Saccharomyces cerevisiae S288C: one gene and its partners. Changing the gene in region 1 together with any one later gene gives a genetic interaction. Each region holds a gene or a part of one and is shown in the gene's direction. Other genes may lie near its edges.

Region 1 (8,657 bases):
AGGACATCTCTATCTTGCCCGTCAATGATGAACCAGGTTACCTTCAAGATTCGAAGACTGAACAAAACTATCCTGAGCTTGCCGATGCTGTGAAGTCACAAACAAGTCAAACATGCAGCGAAGAACATAAGTATGTTATCATGATCGATGCCGGCTCTACCGGTTCCCGAGTACATATATACAAGTTTGACGTCTGTACTTCCCCACCTACATTACTTGATGAAAAATTCGACATGTTAGAGCCTGGTTTATCTTCTTTCGATACCGATTCCGTTGGTGCCGCTAACTCCCTTGACCCATTACTGAAAGTAGCAATGAACTATGTCCCTATTAAGGCAAGAAGTTGTACTCCCGTTGCGGTGAAAGCTACTGCAGGCCTAAGACTCTTGGGTGATGCCAAATCTTCAAAAATTTTGAGCGCTGTAAGGGATCATTTGGAGAAGGACTATCCTTTCCCAGTTGTCGAAGGTGATGGTGTTTCCATCATGGGCGGTGATGAAGAAGGTGTCTTCGCCTGGATTACTACAAACTACCTATTAGGTAATATCGGTGCTAATGGCCCCAAGTTACCTACTGCTGCCGTTTTTGACTTAGGCGGAGGGTCTACACAAATTGTTTTTGAGCCTACTTTCCCAATAAATGAAAAAATGGTCGATGGTGAGCATAAATTTGATTTGAAGTTTGGTGATGAAAATTACACCTTGTACCAATTTTCTCATCTAGGTTACGGTTTGAAGGAAGGAAGAAATAAAGTTAACTCTGTTCTTGTGGAAAATGCATTAAAAGACGGCAAAATATTGAAGGGTGATAACACTAAGACTCATCAATTGTCATCTCCATGCCTACCGCCTAAAGTTAATGCCACAAATGAAAAGGTTACATTAGAATCCAAGGAAACTTATACCATTGACTTTATAGGGCCGGACGAGCCAAGTGGTGCACAATGTAGATTTCTGACTGATGAAATTTTGAATAAAGATGCTCAGTGCCAGTCTCCACCATGCTCTTTCAATGGGGTTCACCAACCTTCTTTAGTTCGTACATTCAAAGAATCGAACGATATCTATATTTTCTCTTATTTCTACGACAGAACCCGTCCATTGGGTATGCCCTTGTCCTTTACTTTGAATGAATTGAACGATTTGGCAAGAATAGTGTGTAAAGGCGAAGAAACTTGGAATAGTGTCTTCAGTGGCATTGCGGGGTCCCTAGATGAATTGGAAAGTGACTCGCACTTCTGTTTGGACTTATCTTTTCAAGTGTCCTTATTACATACGGGATATGACATTCCATTACAAAGAGAATTGAGAACTGGAAAGAAAATTGCCAATAAAGAAATCGGTTGGTGTTTAGGTGCGTCATTACCATTGTTGAAAGCTGATAACTGGAAATGTAAAATTCAATCAGCTTGAATAAGAACATGGACACCGCTTTTCGTCCCATGTATATTAAGGAAGAGGAGATTGCGGTGATATGTATTCTGTTATATGTCCTATTCTATAACCCTTGAACAATATGTAAACGATTTTTACGTTATGAAAATCACTATTATCCCCACAATAGTTTATTATAACACCGCCGCCAAGACAGGGGATTGAAAAGGCCTTCCGAGGTTTATCCATTTTTGGTAAAAGCCCGCCACGCCTTCAGGTGTTTGAGTATGAACTGGAAGAGTTATCTGTTAGGACCTCATAATCTTGAACATATGAGATAATTTAATATACTTTTGTTATGGATTGTTCCGTTGTTTTAAGACTATATGGCTTTGTTTTAGTTTTAGGGTGATTGTGGATATCACACCGGTCCTCAAGAAAATCGAAAACAAAAGGATAATCGGACTTATCTGGTGATCGAAGAAACTGCATTTCAGGTCGTTTAATAAACTGCTAGCTATTGATATTATATATATAAATAAACCTACAATCAGGTTAGTGTATTCATCTCACTTCTATAGCGTTGTGAAAGGGAAATGGAAATAGTGCAATCTCAATAAATCTGCTTACGTGACATTTTTTACTAAAAGAGAATATGAAAACTGATAGATTACTGATTAACGCTTCCCCGGAGACATGTACCAAGGGAGATGCTGAGATGGATACTATGGATACTATTGACAGAATGACATCAGTTAAAGTTTTAGCGGAAGGCAAGGTATTAAGCAACTTCGAAGAACCGGGCTTAATGAGGTGCGGTTATCATGATGCAAAAAACTGGGTCAGAAGATTATCGAGCGAAACAATTGTCGGTGAGGACACGAGTAATTTATACCCATTTTATGTTGATACTGCATACGATGTAAGGCGTTTGAGAAAGGATCTTATAAATGCTAAGGTTGACTTGCAGGTTGAAAACCTGATAATAATCTGCAATATTAATGATATTTCCACTGTATTTCTCATGAGAGAAGTGGTGGAATGGATCTTACGCAATTTCCATTCAATAACTGTATATGTACAAGATATTTTTAAAAAGTCAACTCAGTTTGCTGTTGGTGACCTCTGCAAAGACAGCAATTGCAGTAAAAACAGAGTAAAGTATTGGTCAAAAGAATTTGTTAAAAAACACGATTCATTCTTTGACTTGATGATTACACTAGGGGGTGATGGAACTGTCCTTTTTGCTTCATCTATATTCACGAAAGATGTTCCGCCGATTGTTCCATTTGCCCTTGGATCATTAGGATTTCTAACAAATTTTGAATTTCAAAATTTCAAAGAAACGTTGAAACATATCTTAACAGATGAGGTTCGTATTAATTTACGAATGAGGTTGCAATGCAAACTCTACCGTAGAAATAAACCAGAAATTGATGCCGCAACTGGGAGAAAAATATGTTACATCGATTTCATCTCCGAACATCACGTATTGAACGAAGTAACCATAGATAGAGGTCCAGCTCCTTGTTTATCCCTATTAGAACTCTATGGAAACGACTCACTAATGACTAAGGTTCAGGGAGATGGATTGATTGTTGCCACGCCTACGGGATCCACGGCATACTCATTGAGTGCAGGAGGCTCTTTAATATCGCCAAGCGTAAATGCCATAGCGGTGACGCCTATATGTCCTCATACTTTGAGCTTTAGGCCTATAATTTTACCAGATAGCATGGAATTAAAAGTTAGAGTAGATATGAACTCAAGAGGGACGTCGTGGGTGAATTTTGACGGAAAAGATAGAGTTGAATTGAAACAGGGTGACTATGTTGTGATAACTGCAAGCCCCTATTCGGTACCGACTATCGAGTCATCTGCCAGTGAATTTTTTGAAAGTATCAGTAAAAATCTTAATTGGAATGACCGCGAAGAGCAGAAGCCATTTGCACATATTCTCTCGCCAAAAAATCAAGAAAAATATAGATTAGACTCATCGAAAAATGGAAACGACACCATAAGTAATCCCCTCGAGAGTTCATGCATAAGCTCAGATGCACAAGATGAGGAGAGGAAATCCGTAACGGAAACAGAAACAGAAATAGTTGTTGAACGGACTCGTCAGGCTCATTTTGCAATCTAACGATTTCCCACATCCTGCGTTTCCGTAGTCAAGGGTTCATAATGGATGATGAGCCTGTAAACAGCTTTGTATTTACCTCTTTTACTTCAAGAATGCTCTTGCGTCGTTTGCAGTGTCGAAGAAGATCCAGTAGAGCTATACAAAATGGAGAAATGAAACAGTTGAACCAGAGCGCCGCATTTGGCAGGTAGTTTCGCTAAATTTCCTCATGCGCGTTTGTAATTATGCTAGTTAACCATATGATAAGGTTGCCTAACTTGCAGTCACCGGAAGGTTATTTCCGGAATGGTGCAGAATAATTTTTAAAATAGTAGCATATATTTCGTTCCAATTCCCAAATAGGGAATTATAATTATGACAGATAAATTCCCGATTAGGAAGAAGCGCGAAAATTCTTGAAAAACTTTTTTCAACCTCGAAGAAAATCGTCGTCCTTCGAAGATTTAGTGGGAATCTTCAAGGTGGATAGTTTCCAAATTAAAACTGCAGAAGAGGCTTTTAAAACATGCCTGAGGTATAAAAAGAACAACATTCCTGGTGATTATGGTTTCTGTTGGACCCTGTTCCCTTTGTAAAACTTCTATTTATTGTCCTGCAAATAAGCTAATTATATAATTAATAATGGCAATCGTTAATAGTTGGCTAATTTGTTTAGTCAGTATTTTTTCCTTCGTGGTACGTGTAGAGGCCGCTACATTTTGCAATGCAACTCAAGCATGTCCCGAAGATAAACCATGTTGCTCACAATATGGTGAATGTGGTACTGGTCAATATTGTCTGAACAACTGTGATGTAAGATATTCGTTTAGTCATGATTCATGTATGCCTGTACCTATCTGCAAGAGTTCATCCACTAAATTCAAAGATTATTCCTCTAAGTTGGGGAATGCTAACACTTTCTTAGGAAATGTTAGTGAGGCTGATTGGTTGTATACTGGTGACGTTTTGGATTATGATGATGAAGAAAGTTTAATTTTGGCGATGCCCAAGAACAGTGGTGGTACCGTTCTTTCCTCCACGAGGGCTGTTTGGTATGGTAAGGTCAGTGCTAGAATAAAGACGTCACATCTTGCTGGTGTGGTCACTGGGTTCATTCTGTATTCCGGCGCAGGTGATGAACTTGATTACGAATTCGTCGGTGCTGATCTAGAAACTGCTCAAACCAATTTCTATTGGGAAAGTGTTTTGAACTACACGAATTCTGCCAATATTTCCACTACTGATACATTTGAAAACTACCATACTTACGAATTAGATTGGCACGAAGATTATGTAACATGGTCCATCGATGGTGTCGTCGGTAGAACCTTGTACAAGAACGAAACTTATAACGCCACCACCCAAAAATATCAATACCCACAAACCCCATCCAAGGTGGATATTTCCATTTGGCCAGGTGGTAATTCTACCAACGCTCCAGGAACCATTGCATGGTCTGGTGGTGAAATTAATTGGGACGCATCCGATATCAGCAACCCAGGATATTATTATGCTATTGTCAATGAAGTTAATATCACATGTTATGATCCACCAAGCGATACCAAGAAGAATGGTACTTCTGCTTATGTGTATACTTCGTCCAGTGAATTTTTGGCCAAAGACATTGCTATTACCGATGATGAGGTCATGATGGACAGTGATGAGGGATCTGGCTTGGACCCACATAAGGGAGCTACCACATCTTCCACCCAAAAGAGTTCTTCCTCAACTGCAACCTCTTCCTCCAAAACGTCATCCGATCACAGCAGTTCAACTAAGAAGAGTAGTAAGACTAGTTCCACCGCTTCATCATCATCATCATCATCTTCTTCTTCTTCTTCTTCTTCCTCTACTGCTACTAAGAACGGAGATAAAGTCGTATCCTCCGTATCCTCTTCCGTCACTTCCCAAACTCAAACAACATCTTCTGTAAGCGGAAGCGCCTCCAGCAGTACAAGCTCAATGAGCGGTAATAACGCAGGTGCCAACGTAGCGGCAAACTGGCGTTTGACTGTTTTATGTGTCATCCTAGGTTATGTCTTATAGGAGGATCTGCATCTAAGAACAAATAGGCTACACAGGACTCTCAAAAAAAAATGTATTAATAAATAAAAGAACTTAAATATAGACTTTTTATTCGCATGCATATAAAAATAATTAATTAATAAATAACTGTAAAAAACTAGAATAATAAAAGTAATAAATATCTCCTCCGACGACATAGCCTATTTGGCAGCCTTTGTCATATAAGTAATTAAATCGTTTCTGTCCTTTTCCTTCTTCAACCCGGCAAACGCCATCTTGGTACCAGGAATATATTTCTTTGGGTTCGTCAAGTACTCGGACATACTATCCTCATCCCATTTGACGTTCTTGTTGATGTTTGCATCTGTGTAAGAATAACCCTTTACCTGACCTGAATGTCTACCAAAAATACCATGTAAATTAGGTCCAACTTTGTTAGGACCACCCTCTTCTATTGTATGACACTGCTGACACCTCGTTTTAAACAATGTAGCACCCTTTTTTGCAGAGCCTGGTTTGAATCCCGTACTTTCTTTAGCCATGTTTTGTTTATGATGTAATGTAGTTTACTGAAGTTTACTTAAAGTAATGTGAATAAATGCTTGTATGTGATCTTCTTGTATAAGTCTTTGATTTTGTTTCAACCTCAACAAAAAGAGAACTATTCTGATCTAATCTTCTCGAGCTTCACAACACGATATATATATATGTTGTGTGCCTTTGTCTTTGCCCCTTGCGGCCACTTATAGTAGTTGGAACTTGAATAAATGCCCTCGCTATTATCGCTATTAGCTTTGAGAAGGTGGGAAAAGACCCCTCGGCGGGGGACTGCAGACCCTTCTCAGAGAAGGCACGAAGGAAAATAATTCAATAAGGGGCGCTATAACCCGGCTGCTGATCCATTTCTTTTTTCGTTTCTTTTTCTTCAAGCGGAATGATAATAATAATACCAACGATGACGGTGGTGAGTGGGATGAATATGGAATGGTCATTGGGCAAAAGGTCCTGCTAGCTCGTATACCAAAAATGGGAGACAATTACTCGACTTACTTGCTTGATATTGAAGGGACAGTGTGCCCGATCTCGTTCGTGAAGGAGACTTTATTCCCTTATTTCACGAATAAAGTGCCGCAATTGGTTCAACAGGATACAAGGGACTCCCCGGTTTCCAACATTCTGTCGCAGTTTCACATCGACAATAAGGAGCAGTTGCAGGCGCATATTTTGGAGTTGGTGGCCAAGGATGTGAAGGATCCAATCTTGAAACAGTTGCAAGGCTACGTCTGGGCTCACGGATACGAATCTGGGCAGATTAAGGCGCCCGTTTATGCAGATGCTATTGACTTTATCAAGAGGAAGAAGCGTGTGTTTATCTACTCTAGTGGATCTGTAAAGGCACAGAAATTGCTGTTCGGGTATGTTCAGGATCCCAACGCGCCTGCGCATGATTCGTTGGATTTGAATTCTTATATAGATGGTTATTTCGACATCAACACTTCTGGAAAGAAAACCGAAACACAGTCTTACGCCAACATCTTGCGGGATATCGGTGCGAAGGCTAGCGAGGTACTGTTCTTGAGCGATAATCCATTGGAATTGGACGCAGCGGCCGGCGTTGGAATAGCTACTGGGTTAGCTTCCCGACCTGGTAATGCACCTGTCCCCGATGGGCAAAAGTACCAGGTATACAAGAATTTTGAAACTCTTTAACAAAACTGTATATATGCGCTAAAAGCAGTATAATCATTATTTGTTGTTGTTATTATTATTATTATTGTTATTATTATTATTATTATTATTATTGAGATTAATATTACCATCTCTCTGTTTTCTTTTCTTTCCCTTCTAGCATATATAAATACACATACGTTATTGATTTCTACGTAAGCTTTTTTTTTCCCTTGGCTCAAAAATCATGCAACATTGTCGAGAATAAGTGAAGATACTTCAAGCCATAACATTACTACAATCTCAGTCGGCATGATCGCTGAATAGAATATTTGCTGCAGCTTCTTCGTTTTTATCGCACGCAAAATACACCTGGATAACAAGATCTCTTTCAAAGCCCAATTCACAGAGGCGCGAAATAGCTTGATCGTCTTCGGGGGTATAGTCAACTTGGAAAGAACCTTCACCTTCACCTTGTCCCAGTCCTGCAGCAGCAGCCTCTCCTGTAACTTCTATATCCTCTCCTTCCACCATATCATCCGCACCTTCCATAACATCTTGCATATTGTCACCCACGGCTTCTAGCAACATGGACACAAACACTTCTGGGTTTGCCATGATATGTTCACGTAATTGAGGATATCTAGCACTTATGTTTTCCAACAATGGGGCTAAAGCTTCTGGGTTACCTGAAACGACCTGTCTCAACGATAGTAAATCTTCTACAGTGAGGCCAATGGAACCTGGAGGTCCACCTTGCGCAGCATCTGTAGCTCCTCCAGTTGTGCCAAGCGCACCGGATGAAGCATTACCGCCTTGGGCAGCTTGTGCAAATAAGTCGTCTTCAGCCGGTTGTTCCGCAGTGGTGGCGGCTGTCGATGGTTGTTCCGCTGCGGCGGCTGTTTGTTGCTGTGGTTCCGGTTGACGCAGATTTTCTGGAATACCCATCAGTAGATATTCCACCGCTCTATCTGGATTATTAAAGGCTGCTCTCAAGGCTCGTTCGACTTCCTCTCTTTGGTAGCCCATTTCCATGATTCTCTCGATGGTCTCGTTCCTCTCGGTTCCCACCACGAATCCCGGTGTAGAGGCAGATTCAGTACGTTCTGTAGTGGCGGTTTGTTCTTCTTGCGGTTGTGAGCCTTCGGGAGCAGTGGCTGCAGGAGCTGCAGAAGCATCCGTACTGGGGGATGCTTCTGTAGAATTTTCTCTTCCGGGGGTAGTGGCGCTCTCAGGAGCAATTGGAGGTTCTGTTACTTTGGTCTTCGTGGACTTTTTTTGAGAAACCATGAAGACAACTTGGTCCCCATCTTTTAGCCCGCATTCCGATACGGTTTTGGAATCTTGTAGCACTTTACCCGAGTAGATCAGTTTTATTTGAGATTCTTCACAAGAAATGGATTGAGCAAGCTTGGTCTTGGTCTCTAAAATTGTGTTTGAAGGTTCCAGATCTAAAGGAACTTTTTCCT
Region 2 (4,757 bases), on another chromosome or scaffold:
CACGATTTTAACGTAGAAAAATACGGGTCAAACAGAACTTGAAAAACATCAACAAAAAGTAAGAAAAAAGTCTTCGTTGTTTCTATTGGAAAAAGAATTAACTGTCATCTATCAACCAAGTTATCAAATTTAATGGAATCTGAAATATAAAGATTGATAATGTGATAGGGTAATGAAAACCATAAAAAACAAAAGGAGAAATAATCGTAATATTATAATGTAGAAATACCGATTTTCTTTACAATGGAATCCCAACAATTATCAAATTGAGAATTGGGTGAATTTTGAGATAATTGTTGGGATTCCATTGTCGATAAAGGCTATAATATTAGGTATACAGAATATACTAGAAATTCTCCTCGAGGATATAGGAATCCCAAAATGGAATCTATATTTCTATACACTAATATTACGATTATTCCTCATTCCGTTTTATATGTTTCATTATCCTATTACATTATCAATCCTTGCACTTCAGCTTCCCCTAACTTCGATGACAGCTTCTCATAACTTATGTCATAATCTAACACCGTATATGATAGTATATTGATACTATAACTATTAGTTGACAGACGATAGTGAATTTTTATTCCAACACTTCTTTCCATGATTTTATTCCTAATCAAGAAAATATAGATTTTCACCATAGTAATGATATAGAAAACTAGAAACACTTTCACTTCAAAGTGTTTCAGTCCCAGTGGCCGAGTGGTTAAGGCGATGCCTGCTATTTCCTCAGAAAAGCAATTAGGCATTGGGTTTTACCTGCGCAGGTTCGAATCCTGTCTGTGACGCACTTTATTTTTTCTACATCCACTATTTTAAAGCTTGATTTTTTTGATTGTGAGCCACCTTCATGTACCTATCGTTTGTGGACTATTGCCATTAATTGCTTATTCACTTGCAATGATTTTATAAACATTACTCAAACTATCGGTTCCTACTGGAAGATATAACAAAAAAATTTGGCATATTTCTAAAGGTATCATTATGAACGGCTAAAATTTTTCAGCTTGCTACTATTCTTGAATGATGCCTCTTTAAACATTACTGTGCATTAACACACAATAACAGTGACTTGTAACGGAAATATCGATATACTACAACAGTTAATTATGGGTAAAGCTAAGAAAACAAGAAAGTTTGGCCTCGTAAAAAGAACTTTGAACACCAAGAAAGACCAAAGATTGAAGAAAAACCAGGAAAATATCAAAACTAAAGAAGACCCTGAGCTAACCAGGAATATACCACAAGTATCAAGTGCACTTTTCTTTCAATACAATCAAGCTATAAAGCCACCTTATCAAGTACTGATAGATACCAATTTTATAAATTTTTCTATCCAGAAAAAAGTCGATATTGTTAGAGGAATGATGGACTGTCTACTCGCAAAATGTAACCCGTTAATCACAGATTGTGTGATGGCAGAGTTAGAAAAATTGGGCCCCAAGTACCGTATCGCCTTGAAACTGGCTCGAGATCCTAGAATAAAGAGACTAAGCTGTTCGCACAAGGGTACGTACGCGGATGACTGTTTAGTGCATCGAGTCTTACAACATAAGTGTTACATCGTAGCTACAAACGATGCCGGCCTGAAACAAAGAATTAGAAAAATCCCTGGAATTCCTTTGATGAGCGTAGGCGGTCACGCATACGTCATTGAAAAATTGCCAGATGTCTTTTAAACTACTGTGTATTCACTCTTTAAGTATGTAGTGCAATGTTTTTGGTTTATATGTATATTAATTTCATAACAACAAGTTCATGGTTTGCCCGTATTGGAGCATGTTTTCAGATGAACTGAAATGCCTAAGGATATTTCTATTTCTTTTCAAGACCATTTACTCAATAATTGCTCTAAAGAAACGCAAATGCAAGGAGAAAAAAGAGGGCGTTTGAGACGCGACCAGTAACAGTTATAAACGGTAACCATTTGGCATCTTTTCATAATATCACTGTCAGCTATTATCCTCTTCCATGGGTTCCACGCGATGCAGAATATTTCTTAAGGAAGTTTTCATCTTCGCGCAAGCAAGGGACAAAACTTGATTGTATTTTTACATAAGCAAGCATATTTGATGCTGAAGAAGTATTATTATAAAAACTAAACATTGGAAAATACACATATAGCATACCTTAATATATACGGATAAAAAAAAGGTTGAAAAAATGGCTGGAATTTTGTCAAAGACTCTTTCAGAAGTGCATCCTTCCCTCCGAACAAATGGTATGGGTATCGGTAACACTCACAGGAGGATATCGCTAGGCTTCCTACCTCCCAACAAGAAGAATCCTCTGGTACGAAAATTTCGTGCAAGAACGAGAAATATTGATCAGAGGAGTTTCAGATCTTTAACAGATGATTTTGGAAGTAACGTCCATGAACCAAATCCGTACTTAGGTAATATTGATGAGGAACCTGACCTTTACTATCATGATGAAGAAGATGGCGAACTGAGCAGAACGATTTCTCTACCATCAAGGGTATCAGAAACTCCTGAGCTTTCGCCACAAGATGTTGATTGGATTCTACATGAACATGAACGACGATACTCATCGGTATGCAACTCTGATAATGAGGAAGCAAGTCAAAGCAACACACCAGATAGAATACAAGAATATTCTGGAAGAGAACTAGAATATGACGAATTTATGAATAGACTCCAAGCTCAGAAACAGAAATTAACTCGAAGTGCGGTAACAGACGCTAAAGGCACCTCACATCACAGAAGACCATCATTCGTATCTGTGACTAGCCGAGGCTCAGTTCCCACAATTTACCAAGAGATCGACGAGAACGATTCTGAGGCACTAGCAGAATTGGCTCACAGCCACGTCACCTTCAAATCAGAAGCAAGAGTTTTGGCATCTTATTCCTTCCCTCTAATTTTCACATTCTTATTGGAACAGATTTTCCCTATGGTATGTTCATTAACTGTGGGCCACTTAGGCAAAAATGAACTAGCAGCTGTGTCCTTAGCATCCATGACTTCTAATATAACACTAGCGATATTCGAGGGTATTGCCACTAGTCTAGATACTCTATGCCCTCAAGCGTATGGCTCTGGGAGATTCTACAGTGTAGGAGTTCACCTTCAACGTTGCATTGCTTTTTCATTGGTCATATATATACCTTTTGCTGTCATGTGGTGGTATTCTGAACCTCTTCTTTCTTATATCATCCCTGAGAAAGAATTAATCAACCTAACGTCACGATTTTTAAGAGTACTAATATTGGGAGCGCCAGCGTATATTTTTTTTGAAAATTTAAAACGATTTTTACAAGCCCAAGGTATTTTCGATGCAGGCATCTACGTTTTGACAATATGTGCTCCCTTAAACGTATTAGTCAGTTACACTCTCGTTTGGAACAAGTACATTGGTGTTGGATTTATTGGGGCTGCAATTGCCGTTGTGCTTAACTTCTGGCTAATGTTTTTCTTACTATTGTTTTATGCATTGTATATTGATGGAAGAAAATGCTGGGGTGGATTCTCAAGGAAGGCTTTCACCCATTGGAATGATTTAGGGCATTTAGCCTTCTCAGGTATTATTATGTTGGAGGCGGAAGAGCTGTCATATGAACTATTGACGTTATTTAGTGCATATTACGGTGTCAGTTATCTAGCAGCTCAGTCGGCAGTATCTACTATGGCTGCATTGCTCTATATGATCCCATTTGCAATAGGTATATCTACCTCTACGAGAATTGCGAACTTCATTGGTGCAAAAAGAACCGATTTCGCGCACATCTCTTCTCAAGTTGGGTTGTCATTTTCGTTTATTGCGGGGTTCATCAATTGCTGCATACTAGTATTTGGACGTAATCTAATCGCCAACATTTACTCAAAAGATCCCGAAGTCATCAAATTAATTGCGCAAGTATTGCCCTTGGTGGGTATTGTGCAAAATTTCGACTCGCTTAATGCCGTTGCTGGGTCTTGCCTCAGGGGTCAAGGCATGCAATCTCTAGGAAGTATAGTAAATTTAATGGCTTACTATCTATTTGGAATTCCCCTGGCTCTCATCCTAAGTTGGTTCTTTGACATGAAATTGTATGGTCTTTGGATTGGTATTGGAAGTGCCATGCTTTTAATTGGGCTAGTTGAGGCTTATTACGTATTATTTCCCGATTGGGACAAAATTATGACCTATGCTGAGATTTTGAAAGAAACCGAAGATGATGAAGTAGATAGCGATGAGTATTTAACAGACTCAGACGATCCTGATGAAAACACAGCCCTCTTAGGGGCTTAATTACAGAGGTATATCCGTATTTTCATTTCTTTATTTGATAGTACACGTGATTGTATACCCAATGCATATATTACTAAGAACTTTTTATAATGATGTAATTCAAAATGAAATAAATTACTGATTCATACGCGGTCAAAAAAAAAAAAAGAATATGACGGTTTCTTATTTACAAGCTTTTCTACATATGATTCAAATTATTCTAAAATGTAGCCCTTTTTTGTTTTCTTATCTCCTTACGCTTTTGATTTGCCACTTTCTTAGAATCTCTTATCAATATTTTATCACCAAAAAATTCATAATCTTGCATGTAACGCCTGTCCATATTGAATTCATCCGTTATGGCCGCATCATTCAATCCTAGTTTTTGAATAGTCCAGTAGTATTTTTCAGGATTATCTCTTTTCAAATATCTTAATATTGCCTGCCTTTGCTGGACTAATATCCTCAAATTTCTGGTGTTAGCAAAATCCTTACGATGCTCTTTAATATGGTTTGCCATA
Region 3 (5,081 bases), on another chromosome or scaffold:
TCAACCTTATCGATTACCGCTCCAACCGCGCTATCGACAATAAGAGTCACGGGTATGCCCTTTTGTTCAAGTAAAGTATATAGCTGGTTCCCTTGTTTGCTAGGTCTTGATTCTGTCACCACACATCTGAACCTAATAAACTTATTTGCTGCATGATTTAATAAAGAAAATACTGCTCTCGAATAACCATGTACCAAGATGATATCATCATCAGCTATGAAATCCACCCCTATTTCTGCAATCTTGTTACGCGATTTTTTGGCTCTCGATACAAAAAGCTGGCCATTTTCAATCAAATGTTGTTTACAGTTTTCCCAATCACCGTATAAATGAAGATTTCTTAAGACAAATCTCATGAAAATATCACAACCGGCTCTCAGGGAAACTGAGTTCGGAATGGATTTAATAAGTTCTTCCGTGGAGCTTTTTATTGTATTAATCATTTCTGCCGCTGTTTCTGGTGTTTTTATTCTTAATAGCGTGACCAATGCTTCAATGGCAGCAATCGGCATTGTCATCTCAGTATCTTCTTCTAAAAACCTTAGATAAGTTTCTGTAATATTAAACTCCGACATCCTTCCTCTCGATTTCTGGTATACGTAGGACTTTTAAAATTCTTTCTATCAATTACTATGAAGAAATCTATGATTAATGATGGCTTTGTCACTATTTGAGCAGTATGATTCTCATTTTACACCATAAACTTCACCAATTTTTTCATTTTTTTTTCATTTTTCTTCCGGATGAAATTTATCTATTGTAAAAAAAAAAAAACATTATGCTATGTAGAAAGCTTTAAATATGGCGACAATGTTGCTGTGTTGTATCAAATTCCCTGGATAGAGTCGTGCACTCTTAATGTGGCGAAAATGATGGCATTGCCTCCTTATTCTTTCTCATAAAAGGTATTACTAATCGTTATCTATTACCAACATAAGATATAGCTAGCAATTCTTGTAAGCACAATTACATATGTTTAGTTTTATTTTGAAAAGCAATACAAGCGCAAATTGTTTGGTCTGTTTTGGAGAGATCACCATGTAGCTGGCACTGCTGCAGATTGTCATGTAGTAAACATACTAGTAAAATATTCTTAAAATAATTTGATCAGATCAGTTTTGTTCTTCTATCTCCTATGTCATAACATACCGCTCATTTTTACTATCGTTATGTTTTTCATTCAGAAATTTTATTTTTCTTTAGGTCTTGAGTATCGACTTCCACAACATTGGATGACTGTACCTCACGATTTGTGTATTCTATTTATGCAGTATGTAATAACATATTAGTGTCACGACCGCTAGCCAATATACGATAGTGGATCTTTATTCCAAAAAATACTTATCTAACATGTTTAACAACAGATCAGATACTAAAACTTTTTGTCTGAATAAGAATTAACTACCATCTATGCACTAGCACACAAATTAGCAGTATGTTCTCATACACAGTGTAAGAAGATGACATTAAGAATGAGAAACGGTTATTAAATATAATAGAAGCTGAAATGCAAGCATTGATAACGTAACAAGATAAAGAATAAGCATATAAAGTAAAAAAACGAGACAATAACATTACTATTCATGAATACCGATTCCTTCTTCCGCATTTCTAATATCCTCGAAGAGAACTTTTAGTATATTGTGTATCATAGCCTTCAACAATAATGGAACACCAGTAATTATCATATTATTCAAACATTTCTCAATGATAGCTTTTATTCACAATGGAACCCAACAATTATTTCAAAATTCACACATTTCTTACTTCTTAGAGCAGGATTAGTTGGGTCTGGTAATTTGAACTACTATATTAGGTAAAAAATCATGCAATAAATAGTGCTGATACTTAGGGTTCTCAATTTTTAATGTCTCTTAATAATTCTTGTTCCTCGTGGCCCAATGGTCACGGCGTCTGGCTACGAACCAGAAGATTCCAGGTTCAAGTCCTGGCGGGGAAGAATTTTTTTACTTTTATAATTTTCTTATTATCTTTTCAGTTATTGAGTAAAAATATTATAATATTGGAAATGCTACGTTGCCAGTCCTGGTGCCGTACAATGCCGTATTATTTTAGCAATTCGTCATCAGGTTTCCGAGGCATTGTTACACCGTTTGGGAAAAATAAGATGTATGCACAATGGTGTATCTAAATTCAACATAAAAATAAAAAAAACAAAATGACAAACGGCAATAAAGAGACATTGTGTGCAAAGAAAGGGCATATATATCAAGTAGTATAAGTAGTAAAGTACAGTTAACAGATCAATTGGCCTCGAGGAATATGAGTTTTTTATGGGGGTCTACAAAGTCCAAGAAAGGCAAGAATAAAAAGGCTGCAGGTTCTCTTCCGTCAGGTGTTGTTCCACAGCAACGTGTGAAACCAACACGTAAAAACGTTCCTATAGATTATCCAAGAACTTTGGAAAAAGTACATGGTGAAAGTTTAATCTTTAGGACGTCCCTTTTAAGTGAATTGGTGAGCACTGGTAAATCTGGTATTGGTCCTCCAGACTTGATTCATTGTACAGAGTTAGATAAATTTCACGATGAGAAAATAGGTGAATTCTTTTACATCACGGGGATCGACGCCTCGAGCGTCTCTATGCCAATTGCATTTTTGAAGCTGATAAAATGGAATGATGGTAAGAAACTAAAATCAGCATCTTTGAAGAACGACGACATCACAACCTACTGCACTTTCAATATCTTTCAAAAATTGGACATTAGATTAAGATATGAATCTGAAGATGTTTATCAAGTTAATATCGTTGACTGTTTAAATGGCAACAATGAAATACCGTTGAGTGATCTTATTTGGGAAGAAACTTTCGTTAGCTGTTGCATAAGAAGCGTAATTATTAATTCAGATTTTGAAAGAAAAATACCTGGGCTAGTGGAATTACCATTTGTTTTTGAGAACAGATGCGCGAGTGATTATAAAAGGGTGATAGATTCGTTATGCAAATTTTTGCCAAGATTTTTAGAATGTGGTTGGGATTCTACAAAGAGCGTCTATGCAACGATACTGAATAACTACCTAACTGAATCATTATTAGTATTTCTGTCTATAACTCCAGAATTCATAACAGACTATGCGATCCAGGTTTTAGACAACTTGATGACGAATGACCCGTCAAATTCTAGATATTACGCTATTGTAATTATTTCTATCATGGAGCGAAGTAATGACCGCGATGTAGAAATGATCAAACGGATACACGAGATATTAGACCTATTACTACCCGTACTGTATGGATTGCCATCCGATGAACCTTACATTTCTGATTTGATCAATTGCATCACCGATGTATTAAGCATCCAAGCAAGGTTTCTATTGAACAATAACGACTATGAACTTTCTTTATCCATTTCCACATTGGCCACGAATTTATCTTCTGATAATTTTGAATCTTGGTATCTGTTATCTAAAGGCTATATTTTTTCACAACAGTATGATAAGGCACTGCTCTCAATCAATTCGATGCCCTGTTTAGCGGAATATGATATCGTTAAACAAGCCCAGATTAACGCTTTTAAGTTTTATATGAACTACTACAAGGCACCACTATGTCATAGCAGAGAACACTGTACCATGACATCACACGAGTTAAATCACCTCATGAATATTATGCATTATGAAAATGAGTTGGAGTTGAAGACAATAATATTTGGACGCACTGTAATGCCCAATGAATCTAAGTATGGATGTATTGAAGAGATATGGAATAAATCCTGTCTTGAATTAGGACCTATTTGTGGACCACAGAGTGACAATCTCATAAACTTTGTATCTCAGCAGGAGGTAAATACAGTAGGAGATATGCTGTTACTAAAACGAAGCAAAGAAACCAGACAAGAGAGTTGGTTTATAAAGCAAGTACGTCTTCTGTTGATGGAATTAGTCGCTAGAATCGGCTGGAACGCCTTACTTCAGCTAAGATCTGACGTTTTCGTTATGGAGAGTAAATTCAAAATGATAGAATCTTCGGACAAGCTGTCCACAGAATTACGCCAGAAGAGGCTCTGTCAGAGATGGTTTGATGCTATGTTTCTGGACGTTTACGAAGATTTAAGTATTAGCACTTCATCTCAAGAAAATAAGGCTACGGCGAAATACAGCGGGTTGGAATGGGAACTACTTGGCTTAACTCTGCTTCGAGTGAGTGACTTACCCGATGCAGTAGCGTGTCTACGAACTAGTATTTTGGCAAGGTTTGACCCTATTAGTTGTCACCATCTGTTGAACTTTTATTTAACCATGGATTTTAATGATGAGTTTATGAGAAGGTTTGACGTCGATATCATTTTAGATCTATTAGTGAAATTGATCTCCTTTCGGATACGATTCTATGATAGATTTCAGATATTTTCCCTTCAAGTACTAAGGAAACTAGAGGGACAGCTGGGCTCCGAAATTATTAAGAATAAAATAATTAATTCTCCTTACGGGCAAGCTGGCATCACTTCGGTGATAGATTATATGCTTGAATGCCTCTCTAAAAATAGGAATGAAGCCTGCCTAGCCTATGAACGCCCTCTTCCAGATCTTCCTTCCACTATCAAACCTCTGGCAGACTAACTGATCAAATTGATTTAATGAATCTATATATATATACTGTGTGTGTGTGTCTGTATTCTTAATGGACAAATTTACGGCGATAATGCTAATACTTTAGCGCGGGTAATATCCTAATAGTAATTTTTCAACGATTTGACAGAGTAAAAAATGACCAGCGTAAAAATAACATCAATACGTCAAGGGTATACTAGACCCTTTTCAGCTCTTTCCTTGTCCATTCGAAGACATATCAAAGATAAGAAAGGTGTTGGATATTTACTATTGTAATTTCACCTTTTATTTCTTTTTTTTTGACGGGCAATTGTTTGTTCGTAATAGATTTTCTATCAAGTCAAGAATTTTTTATTCTTGCAAAGGCCGGCTCACGAATAAAGAGTTGCATTTGCCTTGCAATTCGTACGGTTAATTGTCATTTTTTCTATTTGTATTATAAGATACGAAGGGTACCTCATTGAAGTATTTTCACCTTTAGCATTTTCTTTATCATCTTTTGTTTTGTT

What was found.
Region 2: mutations in UTR2 (region 1) and YDR338C together harm fitness more than expected from each alone (negative genetic interaction), as found in Saccharomyces cerevisiae (2 studies listed by BioGRID).
Region 3: mutations in UTR2 (region 1) and BCH2 together harm fitness more than expected from each alone (negative genetic interaction), as found in Saccharomyces cerevisiae (2 studies listed by BioGRID).

What each region holds. Positions count from the first base shown.
Region 1 is NC_001137.3:73,916-82,572, forward strand, and holds UTR2 (chitin transglycosylase UTR2), read left to right. Parts: upstream 1-4,137; coding exon 4,138-5,541; downstream 5,542-8,657. Other genes in the region: GDA1 (guanosine diphosphatase), read left to right, coding at 1-1,412; YEF1 (NADH/NAD(+) kinase), read left to right, coding at 2,029-3,516; CYC7 (cytochrome c), read right to left, coding at 5,721-6,062; putative acireductone synthase UTR4, read left to right, coding at 6,547-7,230; RAD23 (Rad23p), read right to left, coding at 7,492-8,657. UniProt on the Saccharomyces cerevisiae protein: Dual chitinase/transglycosylase that plays a role in cell wall architecture. Chitinase and transglycosylase activities are coupled. Required for the polysaccharide cross-linking at the septa and the cell wall.
Region 2 is NC_001136.10:1,146,879-1,151,635, reverse strand, and holds YDR338C (uncharacterized protein), read left to right. Parts: upstream 1-2,169; coding exon 2,170-4,257; downstream 4,258-4,757. Other genes in the region: rRNA-processing protein FCF1, read left to right, coding at 1,116-1,685; mitochondrial 37S ribosomal protein uS15m MRPS28, read right to left, coding at 4,457-4,757.
Region 3 is NC_001143.9:489,081-494,161, forward strand, and holds BCH2 (Bch2p), read left to right. Parts: upstream 1-2,283; coding exon 2,284-4,581; downstream 4,582-5,081. Other genes in the region: GCN3 (translation initiation factor eIF2B subunit alpha), read right to left, coding at 1-575. UniProt on the Saccharomyces cerevisiae protein: Member of the CHS5-ARF1P-binding proteins (CHAPS) which mediates export of specific cargo proteins, including chitin synthase CHS3.